2 linked regions of the Drosophila melanogaster genome follow. The gene in region 2 interacts genetically with the main gene of each other region. Each region holds a gene or a part of one and is shown on either strand. Other genes may lie near its edges.

Region 1 (6,775 bases), about 13 Mb from region 2:
TTACAAGTAAAGCCAATTCGCTTGGGAAATATCTTTCACTTTCAGTTCTATCTAACTGTTTGTCCAAATGCTCGCGTACCGAACGCGCCGAGAAGTATGCAACAACTGAGCGACAGATCGAAGCGACAACGGACCTTTATAAAAGCGGCAGAAGGATAAGGCCGAAACGAAACAGGAAGCCCGACCGGCAGGACACGAAGTTCAGCGGAACACGAGCTGCCTCGGCTTGTGTGTGTATGTGTGTGTTTGTGTGGGTGTGAGGGTGTGTGTGTGTGCTCGTGGATATCAACAATTGGTCGAATAGAATCTGAAACGATACGAGGTGTGAGTGTGTGAGTGTGCGAGTGTGGCGATGCGGTGTGTGTGCTCTTTTATGCGGCCGCCACTTCAGCGTGGAATAAAAAATTGCCTCCTCGCCGGAGCAATTGAATTGAACGGAAATTCTGTTTGCATATGTGAATAAAACATATGCAAAAAGTAGGCAAAATGCGAAAAAGGCATAGGCACAAAAGGAGCAAAAGATACGAAAAGTGAAATGAGAATGGGAGCAACAGCATCCAAACTGGCCAAATGGGAAAGTTTCGCGTATAAGGAAATATTAATTTCGTTTTATATTACGTATGTAGTCCCGTACTCGTTGCTGTTTTTGGTTTATTTTAATATTTATGATTTACCATATGCCTGCGAGATGGACAAATAAAAATTATGCACTTTGTTGATTTTTCCCGGGCTGTTTGTCCAAAAAATTTGTAATTAAAATTGTTCCCATATGACGCATATAAAGCAAACAAAACATTGACCTTTCAAAAAGTGTGTTGGGTGTTCGAAACATTTATTGGCTACAAACGAGATATGCAATGAAAATAGACTACGTTCTTTGGAAATAGTTGGTTATAAAAGAATGTTGTGCTTTTTTATGTATATATTGCAGTATTTATGATTGCATTCAATATATTAGCCATGAATATTTTACATTTTAAATACATCAAAATTATTACGGAATCGATTCGATTCGATGCAACTATAAGATGCATTCCATACCTGGAGTCTCATTTTGACTTTTGAGCCGTATTTCAATCATTTTGAAATAAATCAAATTTAAAGCGGCCAAGCGGGTTCGTCTCAAATGCGTCACAAAACGAGCCGGAAAAGTCGTTGCAGCCAGATTTCAACGGGTCGCGACCATCAACAATGCACTTGAGGCGAGGTCGCGGCATTTGAGATAAGACAACACCCGGATCACCCGCATCACCCGCATCACCCGCAGCAGGCGAATCCCTCCACACGCCACTCGGAAAGGCCAAGTGGATGCCACACACATCCGGGGGCCAGCTCGTTGCAACTTGCAGCCACTACAACGCCAGTTTTTCGGTCTAAAATTAAACGTGGAAGCATCGCCGCTTCCTGCAGGCATCTTATCTTCGCATCCTTTCTTGCAGGACTGCCTTCCGCCTTTTCGGGCAATTGAGTCGTAAATGTTACAGTGTATAGAGAGCCCGCTGAAAAATTTGCATTTAAATTGCAACAGATTTCGGGGCAAAAAAAAAGCCAATTCCTCACCCTCCAAACAATTAGACGGATTTCCAACTAAACGAGCTCCAGTTTGGTGGTGATAAACAATTGTCCCCGGTGATGCAACAAATATTTACTCCAACCATTTGGTAAACATAATTAGCATTTAATTAAAATAAAATTGCCCATCGATAGACAAGCAATTTGTGATTTGATTATCAAAATCAAATAAGACCGCCGCCACAAAGCCTTTTCGCTTGTGCAAATAGCCGTGCCGCTGCAGAGCCACATAAATATACATGTAGCCATTGGCAATCGGGAACAGGACCGGATCGTATCCGGATCGGCGATAAGGTCCTCCATCGCTGGAACCATCTGATAACTGCGAAATATGTACGTTAAGTGTGCAATTGATTGGATTATGACCCTTTGCTGTGCGTATGGCATTTTATGGGTCAGTGATAGACGGCAAATTGATTTTGTTTTGGTTTGGTTTCGTTAGCCTCTATTTTTGGATGCGCCATTGCCACCTGTTGCTCCGAATTAGTTTTGCTGCCGCTGCACTTTGAGCAGGTGGTGCAAATCGAATTTAAAATTGCATTCCGCGCGTGGGAGGTGTACAAATATCAAGGGAAGAGATACTCCGCATGTTCAACTGAGATGCAACGAGGGAAGGTACATTTATTCGTTACAAAATAAGTAGAAAATTGTAGATAGACATTGGGACTTGGGTAATAATATTTAATCATTTTTAATTAAAACTGAAAGTATTTTAGGGACAATAAACAAGTGCACTGCCTTCCATAAAGGCCTGCTTATTGACCATCAACTTTTTGCGCTGCCCTCGCCATTTTCGCCTTTTTGTCGCTCAGATTGCTTTGTTATTTGTCAACCATTTATTATTGTTCAAATAAAACGTATCCGCCGCCCATATGGATCGTCGAAACACAATTGATTTATACGATGTGCAAAAGGTTGACAGTCGTCCCTTTACTGTAAGGAAATTACTGAACTTTAACAACCTTCTAAAACATTTCAAGATTACAAATGGCGAGGGTAATGACTGAAAATGAATACAAAGAATACGTCTTTAGATAACTTTAATGTTAAGAGTCTAGTTCAATTTAAATTAAATTAAATAAAATATGATTTAAATTGGTGTGAAATTGATTTTAGTTATACATAGGACTATTTTACCCGTCTTACAAAAATAAACCAACCATTAATAAATTTTTACATAACATGCGTTATACATGTTTTTATTTGGAGGATTAATATTGTAATGAGTATTTAAGGCTAGGCGTAGTAACTAAACAATTACATAACTGGAATGACAAAATCTATAGAGCTGTGAGTAGTATATGAACAATTTTGATAGAGCTGCAAGAGCTGAGCTGAGTTGCATACGAGGCGGCCGCACGAGGTGCCACTAAAGCTTGGTTACCCTCAACAATCATATCTAGGCTAAACTATATCGATTCAATTCACATAAATTACCTAAGACGAGTGTGGCTAGAGAAACGGGTTTGGCAGGCGAATCGAGTGGGTTACTCGATCCGTATGACCCCGGCTCCGACACCACCACTGTGTGCGCACATGGGCGGCATAAAGGTCCATTTGTCGGTCTCCGGATCGTACACCTCGACTGTAGACAAATTTGACTCGCCATCATAGCCGCCGATGGCCCACAGTTTGCCCATGTTGGCGGCCAGAGCCACCCGCGAGCGTTTGCAATTCATTGGTGTCACCAGCTTCCAGGTGTCCGTCTGAGGGTCGTAGCACTCTACGGATCGAAGGAATGAGTTGCCGCAGTAGCCGCCGCACACGTATATCTTTCCGTTCAGCGTGGCCACGCCCAGTCTACAGCGACGATTCAGCATGGGCGACATCTTAACCCAGACATCTTCGGCCTGGTCGTACCGCTCCACCGAATCGAATATGGACAACCCATCATGACCGCCAAGGGCGTAGACGTAGCCGTTCAATTGGGTAACTCCACCAGCCGAACGATATTTCATCATTTGAGCAACCTTCGGGTAGTGAAATTAAAGTTGGATCAGTTTTCTTACCCATCTGGGTTACATAGAATGTTTGTTTACTTACAGTCTTCCAAGTGTTAGACTTTGGATAGTAAACTTCAACGGTGTTGAGCGACGTGACGCCGTCGTAGCCGCCGCACACATAGATACAATCATCCAATGCGGCCACGCCCACGGCGCTGCGTTTGCAGAGCATGGCACAGCCCTGGGACCACTTGTTTTTGCGCGGGTCGTAGACCTCAACGGTGGACAGACGTTCGGTGCCATTGAATCCACCAAAGGCGTACAGCTTGCCATTCAGAACGGCCACACCCACGCGAGATCTGTCGAAAAATTGGCAATTAGTATGGGATAGAATAGAAATAAATGCTCCTCGCACACTCACCTCATCATGGACATTTGTTCGCCCATTTTCCATTTTTTGGTGAGCGGATCGTAAATCTCGACCGTGCTCACAGATTCCCCAGTGCTGGCCAGTCCTCCCACGGCGTATATTTGTCCGGTAAAGAACTCACCGGATCTCTGGCGCGTGCGAAAGCTCTGCAGCAGACCCCTGCGCTCGGGCATGAGGTGAAAGTCCTTGGCCTCGTCTAGGAGATCACGGCATTGGTGCGAGGATCGAATGAGTTCCTCGCGGGCCACACGGTCCGCCAGGAACTGAGGCGAGAGCAATGGCAAACGCACTGCAGCCAGGACCTGAGGAAAGAGCTCAGAGCGCTTGTCTTCTGCGTACTTGACCCACTTCATGCAGGCCTCGAAGATGACCTCCTCGGTGCGTACGTTGAGTTCGTCCCGGCGCATCAGCTCCAGCAATTGTTCGCAGTCCAGGGCGAGAAACTCCTCCGACTGCGAGACTTTGGCAAAGTTTTGATCAATATACTTGTCGGCAGCGTCGATTAGCTGCCGGCAGATCATGGAGTCGGCGAAGGTGCGGATTCCCAGGACATTGTGCGGATGAAAGCGGGAGATCAGGAAACTGGCACAGGCATCCCGCACGTTGGACAATTGCAGGAAGCTGGCGCCCACCATCAGGTTCTGCACATTCTGGTTGTCGATGCGCACTTGGCCGCTGTAAACATAGTTGATCAGACTCTCCAGGGCACTTGGCTCTATGGCGCTCTCCTTCATGGTGATCTCCTTGATCCGACTCTCTGCCATGTTGTTGGTGAACATCGCATAGAAATACGGGATGGTGGCCGCCAGCACAACGCGGTGCGCTGAGAAGGTCTGATCTTCAACCTGCAATAATTGGGATGGCATTTTATATTTAGACGCTAGATAATGAACGTATCTCTGAGCTGCGGGTGATTGAATGCCCCAGTCTGCACGCAAACAACCTTTAGGGTGACATCGCACAGCTTGCCCATCCTGCGGATTTCCTTGAACAGGGGGAAACTCTCGCCGAATAGCTTATCATGCTTGTAAACAAAGTATTGATCCTCCACTTGGCTATTATCACTCAAATCCATCACTTTAACGGATCAAGAAAATGATAAACAGTAGAGATGCCAAATGTTGCTTGTACTGCAGAGCTAGTGGTGGTCAGTGGTGAGCGGTCACATTAATCGATAGTTGAGGTTCCTTCGATAGTTGAACAACACCAATAGTAGTGAAACAAATTTATTGAATCATATTGTTTAATTTTAAAGGTAACGTTCTTGGACCAAAATGTAATTTCATAATACTTATTAAAAAGTTGAGCCCTTTTTATGCAACAGTGATAATTAAATCCTTAAAAAGCACATATTTTTAAGACAATATTATTCTTTCATTTAATTTTAATTAGTAATTTTTCCGTTTTTGCGTCACCTTCTTAAAAAAAGACGCTCATCACTAATTGGGCGGTGATGACAGCCCTATCAGCTGTTAGTGTGGCTGGAGTGTTTTCTTCGCTCGGATTGATTAAGGGTCCAAAAACATTTTCGAGTAATCTGGGTCGCTTGCTAATTGGAAAACCACTGATCTGAGTTAAGACATAAATGTTTGGACCGCTATTAAATGCAAGGATACGAAAATAGCAAGTAACATGGAAGCCGCATCACCGAGGGAAACCCAGGTGAGTAAAAAGGTGTCGCTAGAATTGATGATGACGTCTCATCTTGTTATTTGCATTTGCAGAAGAACCCGAATCCGATCGAGGCGCTGAGCAAAGATGAAATCATCAGCAAATACAAAGGCCTGCTCAACATCGCTAAAAAGGCGAAACAGGCAAAAGATGGTAAGTTTGATGGAGAGTTTCAGGGAATCTTCCAGAATAATGCAAGCCACTCTCTTTCAGAACTCACCGAGGAAAATCACCGACTCAAGGATGCCCTTAAACGGGCGGCGGAGAAGCAGAGCAGCCTGCCAGCCATGCAGGAAATGGTCCAGGACTTCACCGATAAGAACCTCATCCTCACCGAGGAAGTGAATAATCTGAAACGAAAGACCAAAGAGGATGCCGATCGACTGACGCAATTCGAGATCGAGAACGAGAGCCTAAAGCGCCAACTTGGGCGACTGAGTGATGAAAACGATGCCCTCCTTGCCAATGTGGATCGCATGGAAAAGGCTATGCAACAGGTCAATGCTCTGGGTAACGAGCAGCGCAAGAATCTGGAACTTTTGGAAGTGGACATTGCCAAAATTAAGGAAGCGGAGGCGGAAAACGCTAGTCTTCGCCAGCAAGTCGCCACGATGGAAGAAGAGTCGAGTGTGCTGCAGCAAAAGTACCAAAACATCAAGGAACTTAACTCTGAGCAACGCAAGAAGTTTAATTCTCTAAAGGACCGCTTCATTGATGTACACCGCAAGTTGAAGAACCTCAAGGAGTGCAAGTGCGTGCTGCTGGAAACGCAGCACGAGTACGCCGCATCCGTTTCCAAATGGCAGGTGGAGATTATCAAAGCTTCGCAACTGTTGTGCGCAAAGATGGCATCCCTGCAGGCCGAGAATGAAAAACTGAAGCTGAACAATGGAAAGTCAGACAATAATCCTCAAACAATTGACACTGGAATTGACCGCAAGCGCTTGCTGCAAAGAGTTCAGGAAATGGATCGGCTAGCCAAAATAGTGAAGCAGAAGCAAAAGAACCAAAGGAGCAATTTGAATGTGGAGTACCTACTTAAGAAGATAACCGCTCTCGAAGAGCTTGCAGTCATTATAAAGCAGCAGCATAGAATTGACAAGGAACAATTGATAAGTGTAACGAAGGAGCAGGAAAACACCAAAAATCACGCCAGGAA
Region 2 (7,479 bases):
CAGCTGATCACGACAGCAGACACTTTCAGTGACCCAGACGGTACCAAATCGTGACCACTAGCCGTGCACTTGAAATCTGGCCTGCAAGTGTTTTGGCCATTTAACCGAATTTTCACAAAAGGAAATTAATGCCTTGCGCAATATAATAAACATGTGTTTTTATTCGATTCAGTCTGTTGTTTACATAAATCACTGGTTTCGTTTATTACACGCCCAACATTTCTATAAATAGTAGCTCGAGTGAAACACTTTCACTTGTTGCTTTTGCTTATGTTGCCTTTCTTTGTTTTTGCCTGAATTGTTTAAAATTTGATTTCAATTGAAAGTTCTACGATATTGGTACCAATTAAGTGAAGTTTGTTGATTATCTTATCAATACCTTGGACTTCTAGTTACCTTCCATTTTTCAAATAGCAAAACCTAAGCATTCTGATAGGGCTTATGAACTCACAAGAACCAATTAACTTAAGGGCAACATTACTGGGAACTATTAATGAAACTATTTAAGCCTGCCTTCCATTTGGATATTGGAATTTAAATATTCAACAAGAATGGAGAGTAATATTTTAATGAAATTTAAAACATATATTTTAAGAACCTATTGTTCTTAATTAATCTAATTGTAAACAAGAACATGTAAAAAAACATTTGTTTATAAAGTTCTAATAATAAAATAGAAACGAATAAAGCTTGGTAATGGTAGCAAGTATCTCGCCGTCGAATCATCGATTGTGTCTAAACTCTTTGATTAACAACAGGTGTCCGTCCGTGTGGGCCACTTTTGGTGTGTCTGCGTGATAATTTTCGCAGCTCAAATAGAAAGTGCAAGAAGAGAGTGGCTATCGCCGCCACTTCCTTCCCCGATTTTATATACAAAGCCCAAACGCAGGCGCCGAATGTGCTGACCACTGTAGTCCGAAACCGATAACAGAACCATAAACAAATACATTTCTGTAGACGACCAGCAACTGATTTCTCTGTTTATCAAAAGACCAGGCGAAGTGTGTGTAATTTCCAGAAGTCGCACGCATTTTACACCCAGCCACATGTACAGTTAGAACAACAACAATAGGGACAGCTGCGCCCTGAGTTCTTGTTGTTGTTTTATGCGTAGTGGGGTGGGAAATTGGGTGGAAAGGGGATGAATTCAATCCAGAAAAACACTTACAATGTGCTCGCGTACTGTATTGTGGAACAATTGCAGCTTTAGATCCGTAACCTCCTCCTCCTCCTCTTCGTCCATGCCCACGAAATATTTGGACAATTTATCGCTGGTAGCCAGTTTTCACAATTTTTCCTAGATCACGCCTCACTTAAAAATGTTACATACACATTTGACAGTCGCCAGAGTCTGTCAAATTCCTATGGGCAACAGTCCTTCTTAGTAATGCGCTCCAGGTTACAAATTTTCTGAATTAAAGTCGCTGTGGCGCTGCACTGTCTGATTTCGCACGGTAATTGTGATTAATTTAGTTAACTTTTTGATGCCGCATTGCCTTTCGACCCGTTTTGCGCTGGTCACTAATTTTCTACTAGCATTCGAGCCGATTTACGACCGAAACGTTAAAAGATTTCTATAAACTGGCGTCAGATTGACCGCATCTGCTAGAGGTGGACAATTGACGATAGGTCGATAGCTTTCGATGTATGTGCTTACGTTTAGAAAGGAAAATATTGAATCTCTAAAAAAAAAAAAATTGAATTGGAAAGAAAATACTGAATTTAAAATTTTTATTGACCTCTATTATTAGAGAAAAAAATATTATACCAATGCAATATCTTCAAGTTAAGAAAACTGTAACCCTAAAAACTATCAATTGGTTCAGACATTCTGGCAACCTTACATCTGTCAGCTGTTACCATACAAAAATGTCCAATTTGCGGCGCCAGGTAAATTAACTTAAAATCATAAATAATCGGTTAATATTGTTTGTATTCCAGGTTCTCAGTGCTTTCAAGAAGCTCCACCGTACACGACAATACGTTTTTCAGGGGGATGCCAATGCTTTGGCGGCGGGACGACTAAAAATCAACGAATCTTTCCTGCAGAATCGTAATGAAAGCAGCGAGGATGAAATTCAAAAGGTTTAACCACTTTTTGTAAATTCTAACTAAGTACATATATGGCAATTTGGCAAATTACAGATGATCAAGCTGGCGCAGGACGTGGATTTGGAGCTGCGAACGAATGTCATCCAAGCCCAGAAAAAAGAGGATGGTGTTTATGGTCAGTGGGGCATGGCGATTACATAAAAGAGCGCTCAAAATTAAAATTTGGCTATATTTACAGAACTAAGGATCACGCCAGAGACAACGCGACTCGACAATGTGGTCTTTAATCCTGACGCAATTATCGAAAAACCGCGCAGGCAACGCGGCGACAAAAACACTGAAGGTTGCTGCGGTGGCGCTGCGATGGCGGCGCTGGAAGCCGAAGTCCAGGCCCGCAACAAATAAAAATATATTCAATATTTAGCTGTAGTCAAGATGGTTTTGTTCTGATTAATTACGTCGTTTATCTTTAATTTCTATTATGTTTCTTCTTCGATTTGTGACTACTCTTTGACTTGGACTTCTTTTGCTTGGATTTTGTACTCTTTTTGCGTTTGCTGCGATCGTCCGACGATGAGGAGCTGCTAGAGCTGTCCTCGGAACTATCTGAAGATGTGGAGTCGCTTTCGGATTCCGAGGAACTTTCACTCGAATCTGAACTGCTGCTAGCTGCTCGTTTCGATTTCTTGGCTTGCTTTTTGCTCTTTTCCACTGAAAGTTTTCTTTTCTTCTCATGACTCTTGTTAGGGCTTGAGTGAGTGTCCATTCTATGGTCTTCCCGGTTCCTGGATTGTTGCCTATAAAAAGATAGATAGATAGTTAAAGATTTTGTATACATCCAGATGCTTAACATTTTTACCTCCGCTCTGGCGATCTTCTTTGATTCCTGGAGGTTTCTCTATGCGATCTCTCATCGTTACGTCTTCCTTCTTGAGGGGAATGGAATCGCCTGCTGTCATTGCGATCTCTGTTTTGAGTCGGTCTTTTTCCAGTTTGATCTCTAGATCTAGAACGCCTTCTCTCATTTTGTTCCCTTGGCCTAGAGCGTCTTCTTTCCTTTTGGTCCCTTGACCTAGAACGTCTTCCTAATTGGTCTCTAGGCCTAGAAGGCCTTCTCTCTTCTCGATCTCTTGACCTAGAGTACCTTCTATGTGTTGCATCCCGAGACCTCGATGACCTTTTTTCATTGCGATTCCTTTCGCGATTTGAGTTCTCTCTGACTGACTCATTTTGCGATTTTTTCGATCTATAAACACTTTTTTCATCTTTTTCCTTCGATCTGGTGCGTCTTTGCAAATTCTTTCGAACATCTCGTTCGCTTTGCTCCTGGTGTCGCTGTTCTCTCGCTTTTCTTCGCTCTGCAGAGCTCATCCTATTTCGAAAATCTTCCGTCCTGTTGCGCTCCTTATGGTCTTCTGTTCTGGACCGGCCATTGTTTGGTTTCCTGTGATCTTTGTCGTCTCGCAAATTGTTAAAATCCAGCTTTCTATAGTCGCCCTCAATACCACGTCCTTTGCCCCGCCAGGTGACCTTTGAAACGGATTGGGAGAAGTCCACGTGGATGCGTCGATCGTCGATAAGCACATTATCCATTTTGAAATATGCGGCCTCACAAGATTTTTGATCCTCGAACTCCACAAAAGCATATTGCAGAGAATCTCCCGTTTTGCGGTCGCGAATCACCTCACATCCTTTAAGCACGCCGAAGCTACTAAAGATTATCTCCAGATCATCGTCGGTTGTAACAGGATTGAGTTTGCACACAAACAAGACATTTTCTGGCGGAGCCATGTCTGCATCGGGTAAATCGCCGACAATCTCAAGGATTGTGGCTCGAGCCTTGGCCTCTCGTTCGGCCAGCATCTCCTGCATCTCCTCCGCGGTCATGCCATCAGTGTCATCGATATCCTCGTCGGCAGCGATGCGCCCGTTCTTCAGACGCTCCGCACTGGGCGAAGGTGAGCGACTTGGAGCCTGAAGGCCGCGCGGATTAGGAAACGGATCCTCAAGCACAACAGTGTGTGTGATGCGTATATCCTGGTAAGGACGGAAGCTGTCGTCAACAATGGCGTCGTTTAGCTTGCGCAGCACCTCGTGACCTTCCACCACTTCACCGATAACGCAGTGGTTGCCGTCCAGCGATGTTAGGTTCTCACCCAGCGTGAGGAAGAACTGGGATCCCACCAGATTCTTGCCTGCACTGACCAGCGATAGCATTCCGGCACTGGAGTGGTTAATCTTGGGCAGGAACTCCGCCTCGAAGAAGCGCTTTTGCGGACCCTCCACCACGCCCCAGATGGAGGATCCGCCGTCTCCAGCTCCACTCGGATCGCCTGTTTGGGCGATGAATCCCTGCTGCACCGTGTGAAATAGATTGAAGTTATAGTACTTCAGCCGGCACAGCTTGAGGAAGTTTAGGCAGGCAATTGGGCGCTCGCTGATGAACAGGTCGACGGTCAGGTCACCCATCGTGGTTTCTATAACCACCGACATTGTGCGAATTCACAGATACCGGCAAAATCAAGGGATAAACAAGAACAATATAGAGGTGGAGAAACATCGATGCCAAATCGATATCATCGATGCTTTCGAAAAATCACAAACATCGATGTTTTTCGAGGAATCATCGATGTTTTTCCATCTCTACTGCGCATCGGAGGAGAGAAGTGTATAAATTGTAGGTATAAATTAATTATCCAAATTTTCTAATACAATTATTAATTTAATGTGACTTATGTCGGTGTTATATGAAACTTGTACAAAATTGGTATTTTACATAAATTTTGAAAAAAAAATATTTTTTTTTATGTACCCTAAACTGAGAAAAAAGTAAAAAAAATACAAACTGAACAAAACTGAAAAAAAATAAAGAAAATACAAATTGATCAAAGAAGTCCATACCTGTAAATGTAAATAGTTATACACGATGCGTAAGTTCATCCGATACTTGACATCGATTGAATATTTTAAAAACAGAACGTAACTTCGTAATCGCCATTTTCGATTGTCATTCGATAATTGTGTGTGTATCAGTGAGACTTGTCAAAGAATTTTCACACGTTTCGAGACTGGAAAAAAGTACAGAAAATTTCATTCCAATCTTAAAAAGCGACAATTAATAGTTAAGCAAGTGACCAGTGATCTAGAACAAGGTAAAATGCCCGAGGCAGGAAAGAAAATAGCAGAGTTGCGCGTGTGCGATCTAAAGAGTGAGCTGGAGAAACGCGAGTTGGAGACAGTCGGCCCCAAGGCGGTGCTCATCGAACGCCTTGAAAAAGTAAGTCCACAAATATGTATGCAACTTAAATGGCGGTTCAGTGCCGCTGGCGATAGAGATAGTGATGCAATTTCCGGGGATTTATGAATGTGTGTAAGCAACGCCTGGTTTTTTCTAATTTCAAGTCACTCAGAGCTGAAGGGCTCGACCCGGCCACCCACTTGATTGTGCCGGGCGCGAAGGCCAAGAAGCCGTTTGCCATGCCCATGAAAGATCTCCAGTCGGAGGTGGTGATCAAGGAAGAGCCCATCGATGCCAATGAGGAGGAGGTGAAGGTGGAACAGCAAGATGATTACCAGAATGGCAACGACTACTCGCATCATGCCGACGACGATGGGCATGAGATTGACCAGGTGGGAGATGTGGACGATGAGTGTGTGATCCTGGATGACGACGATGAAGAGGATGAGGATCATGTGTACGACGATGAGCCCCAGAGCGGTGATGGCGATGCCGAGGGGAAAGCTCAGGACGATGGAGCCGAGAACAATGGCGACGACAAGGCTATTATCCATGGTGAGGAGGAAAACACCGGGGACACCGGAAATATGGACAATGACGAGTCAATCAATTTGACAATTGGGGAGGACGAGCAGAAGCTGCTGCACGATGAGGTGATTTTAACTATTTGGCCTTAAATTGATGTATTCTAATCCAATTTGTTTTGTCCTCAGGCTTCCGACGACAAATCTATTAAGTCTGGTATGTTTGCAGTATCACTCAAAACCATAGAAAATTTATAATTCATGACTAGAAATATCATGGCGTTTGTATTCATGCAATCGATTAAGAAATACGAAATACAAGAAATAAAGCTAATATGTTAATAAAAGTTATCCTGATTCACAGTCAAACCGGCCAATAAATCCGAAAAGTCTAACTCGAAGGATGCCGACAAGAAGAATGACGACGGAGCTCGCTCCAAGAAAAGGGATGAGAAATCCGGTGATAAGAAGGACTCTAGGTAAGATTTGAAAACGTTTCTGTGACATGTCTTCTAATAACATAATATATTTTTTCTTTTCATTTCGCCACATGATTGTGCATAAATTATTATGGAAAATAGTGAACAAAAGTCCTCAGGAAAGTCGTCGAATCAAAAGGACGATAAAGGTAAATTAAGTTAAAGTTTTAGCATGAATAAGAATGGTGTGTTCGGATGGTCTTGCGTTGGGAATGATCAGACCAAGCATGAACCCAGTTAAGGTCGAAAAAATTGACTAAACCATTGAGGAACATGTATCAAAGACCGTGCAAGAGAGTGTGAATTTGGTTGGGACACGGACATGGGACTCTTATCAACAAGGATGCGAGAATTCGGCTCAGGAGCAGCGATGCATCTTAAATTCAGCAATTCGAGTTAATCTTAGTGTTTGTTCCAGTTAACTTCGACGGAAACTTCATACTAATCAAACACACATCCCAATGTTCTCCAAGGAGTTTATAACATTGGTCATCAATAGGCGTATGTGCAAATACTCCGTTGAGGGGCCTATAATATAAAATGAGGCTATCTGGAGAATAAATGGATGGCACCTTTCCCTTACTGCAGCTGGGAAGTGCGGATATTTTTAATTCTTCTCGGCAGATAACTACTGGATTTGTATTACATCACTTATTTCGATCCTGGCTAGGATATGCTGGCCTTACCTGTGGATGACGATGGAAACTGACAGCTATTTAAACAGTCAGCTCTGGATATGCTGCTCTATACTCTGAACGCCTTCAGCAAAAAGCGAGCCTGCTGCCGCAATGGATTTTCATCAGCAACCCAATCAAATTCATACTCTCTTAGCTTCGTTAGGTGAAGTTTGTCGGTAATCTTACGATTGTGCTCTAAACTCCAACATCTGCAGCAGCTACAAAATGTGTGCGTTCACAAAATGCTTCCCTTAAAAACGTATCATAAACAAAAACAGTTAACCAGTTAAGCCCACTCAAAGCTCTGACCATATCTCTCTTCCAATATTATTATTTACATGGAACTTGCAGAGAAATCGACAGCAGCACCTGGTGGTGCCACATCCTCCACTGCATCGAGTGCCGCTGGCAGTAAATCGGGATCCGGTTCCAGTGCTGGCAATGGTACTGGGGCCAACTCAAACAACAAGCAGGCGACGCTGTCGCGAAATCTATGGGTTTCTGGGCTG

What was found. Genes that interact genetically often act in the same process or in processes that back each other up.
Region 1: of CG5808 (region 2) and KLHL18, changing one enhances a phenotype caused by changing the other (phenotypic enhancement), as found in Drosophila melanogaster (one study listed by BioGRID).

Annotation. Positions count from the first base shown.
Region 1 is NT_033777.3:12,005,354-12,012,128, forward strand, and holds KLHL18 (kelch like family member 18), read right to left. Parts: upstream 5,082-6,775; 5' UTR 5,021-5,081; coding exon 4,889-5,020; exon of another isoform or gene 4,812-4,888; coding exon of another isoform or gene 4,791-4,811; coding exon 3,937-4,790; intron 3,875-3,936; coding exon 3,616-3,874; intron 3,543-3,615; coding exon 3,060-3,542; 3' UTR 3,010-3,059; exon of another isoform or gene 2,748-3,009; intron 2,576-2,747; 3' UTR 2,123-2,575; downstream 1-2,122. Other genes in the region: GCC185 (GRIP and coiled-coil domain containing 185 kDa), read left to right, coding at 5,578-5,607, 5,670-5,769, 5,830-6,775.
Region 2 is NT_033777.3:24,812,408-24,819,886, forward strand, and holds CG5808 (uncharacterized protein), read right to left. Parts: upstream 4,601-7,479; 5' UTR 4,546-4,600; coding exon 2,912-4,545; intron 2,850-2,911; coding exon 2,522-2,849; 3' UTR 2,496-2,521; downstream 1-2,495. Other genes in the region: lili (lilipod), read right to left, coding at 1,169-1,243; CG34150 (uncharacterized protein), read left to right, coding at 1,870-1,890, 1,942-2,085, 2,146-2,227, 2,291-2,457; Saf-B (scaffold attachment factor B), read left to right, coding at 5,210-5,329, 5,455-5,943, 6,004-6,031, 6,179-6,293, 6,396-6,442, 7,322-7,479.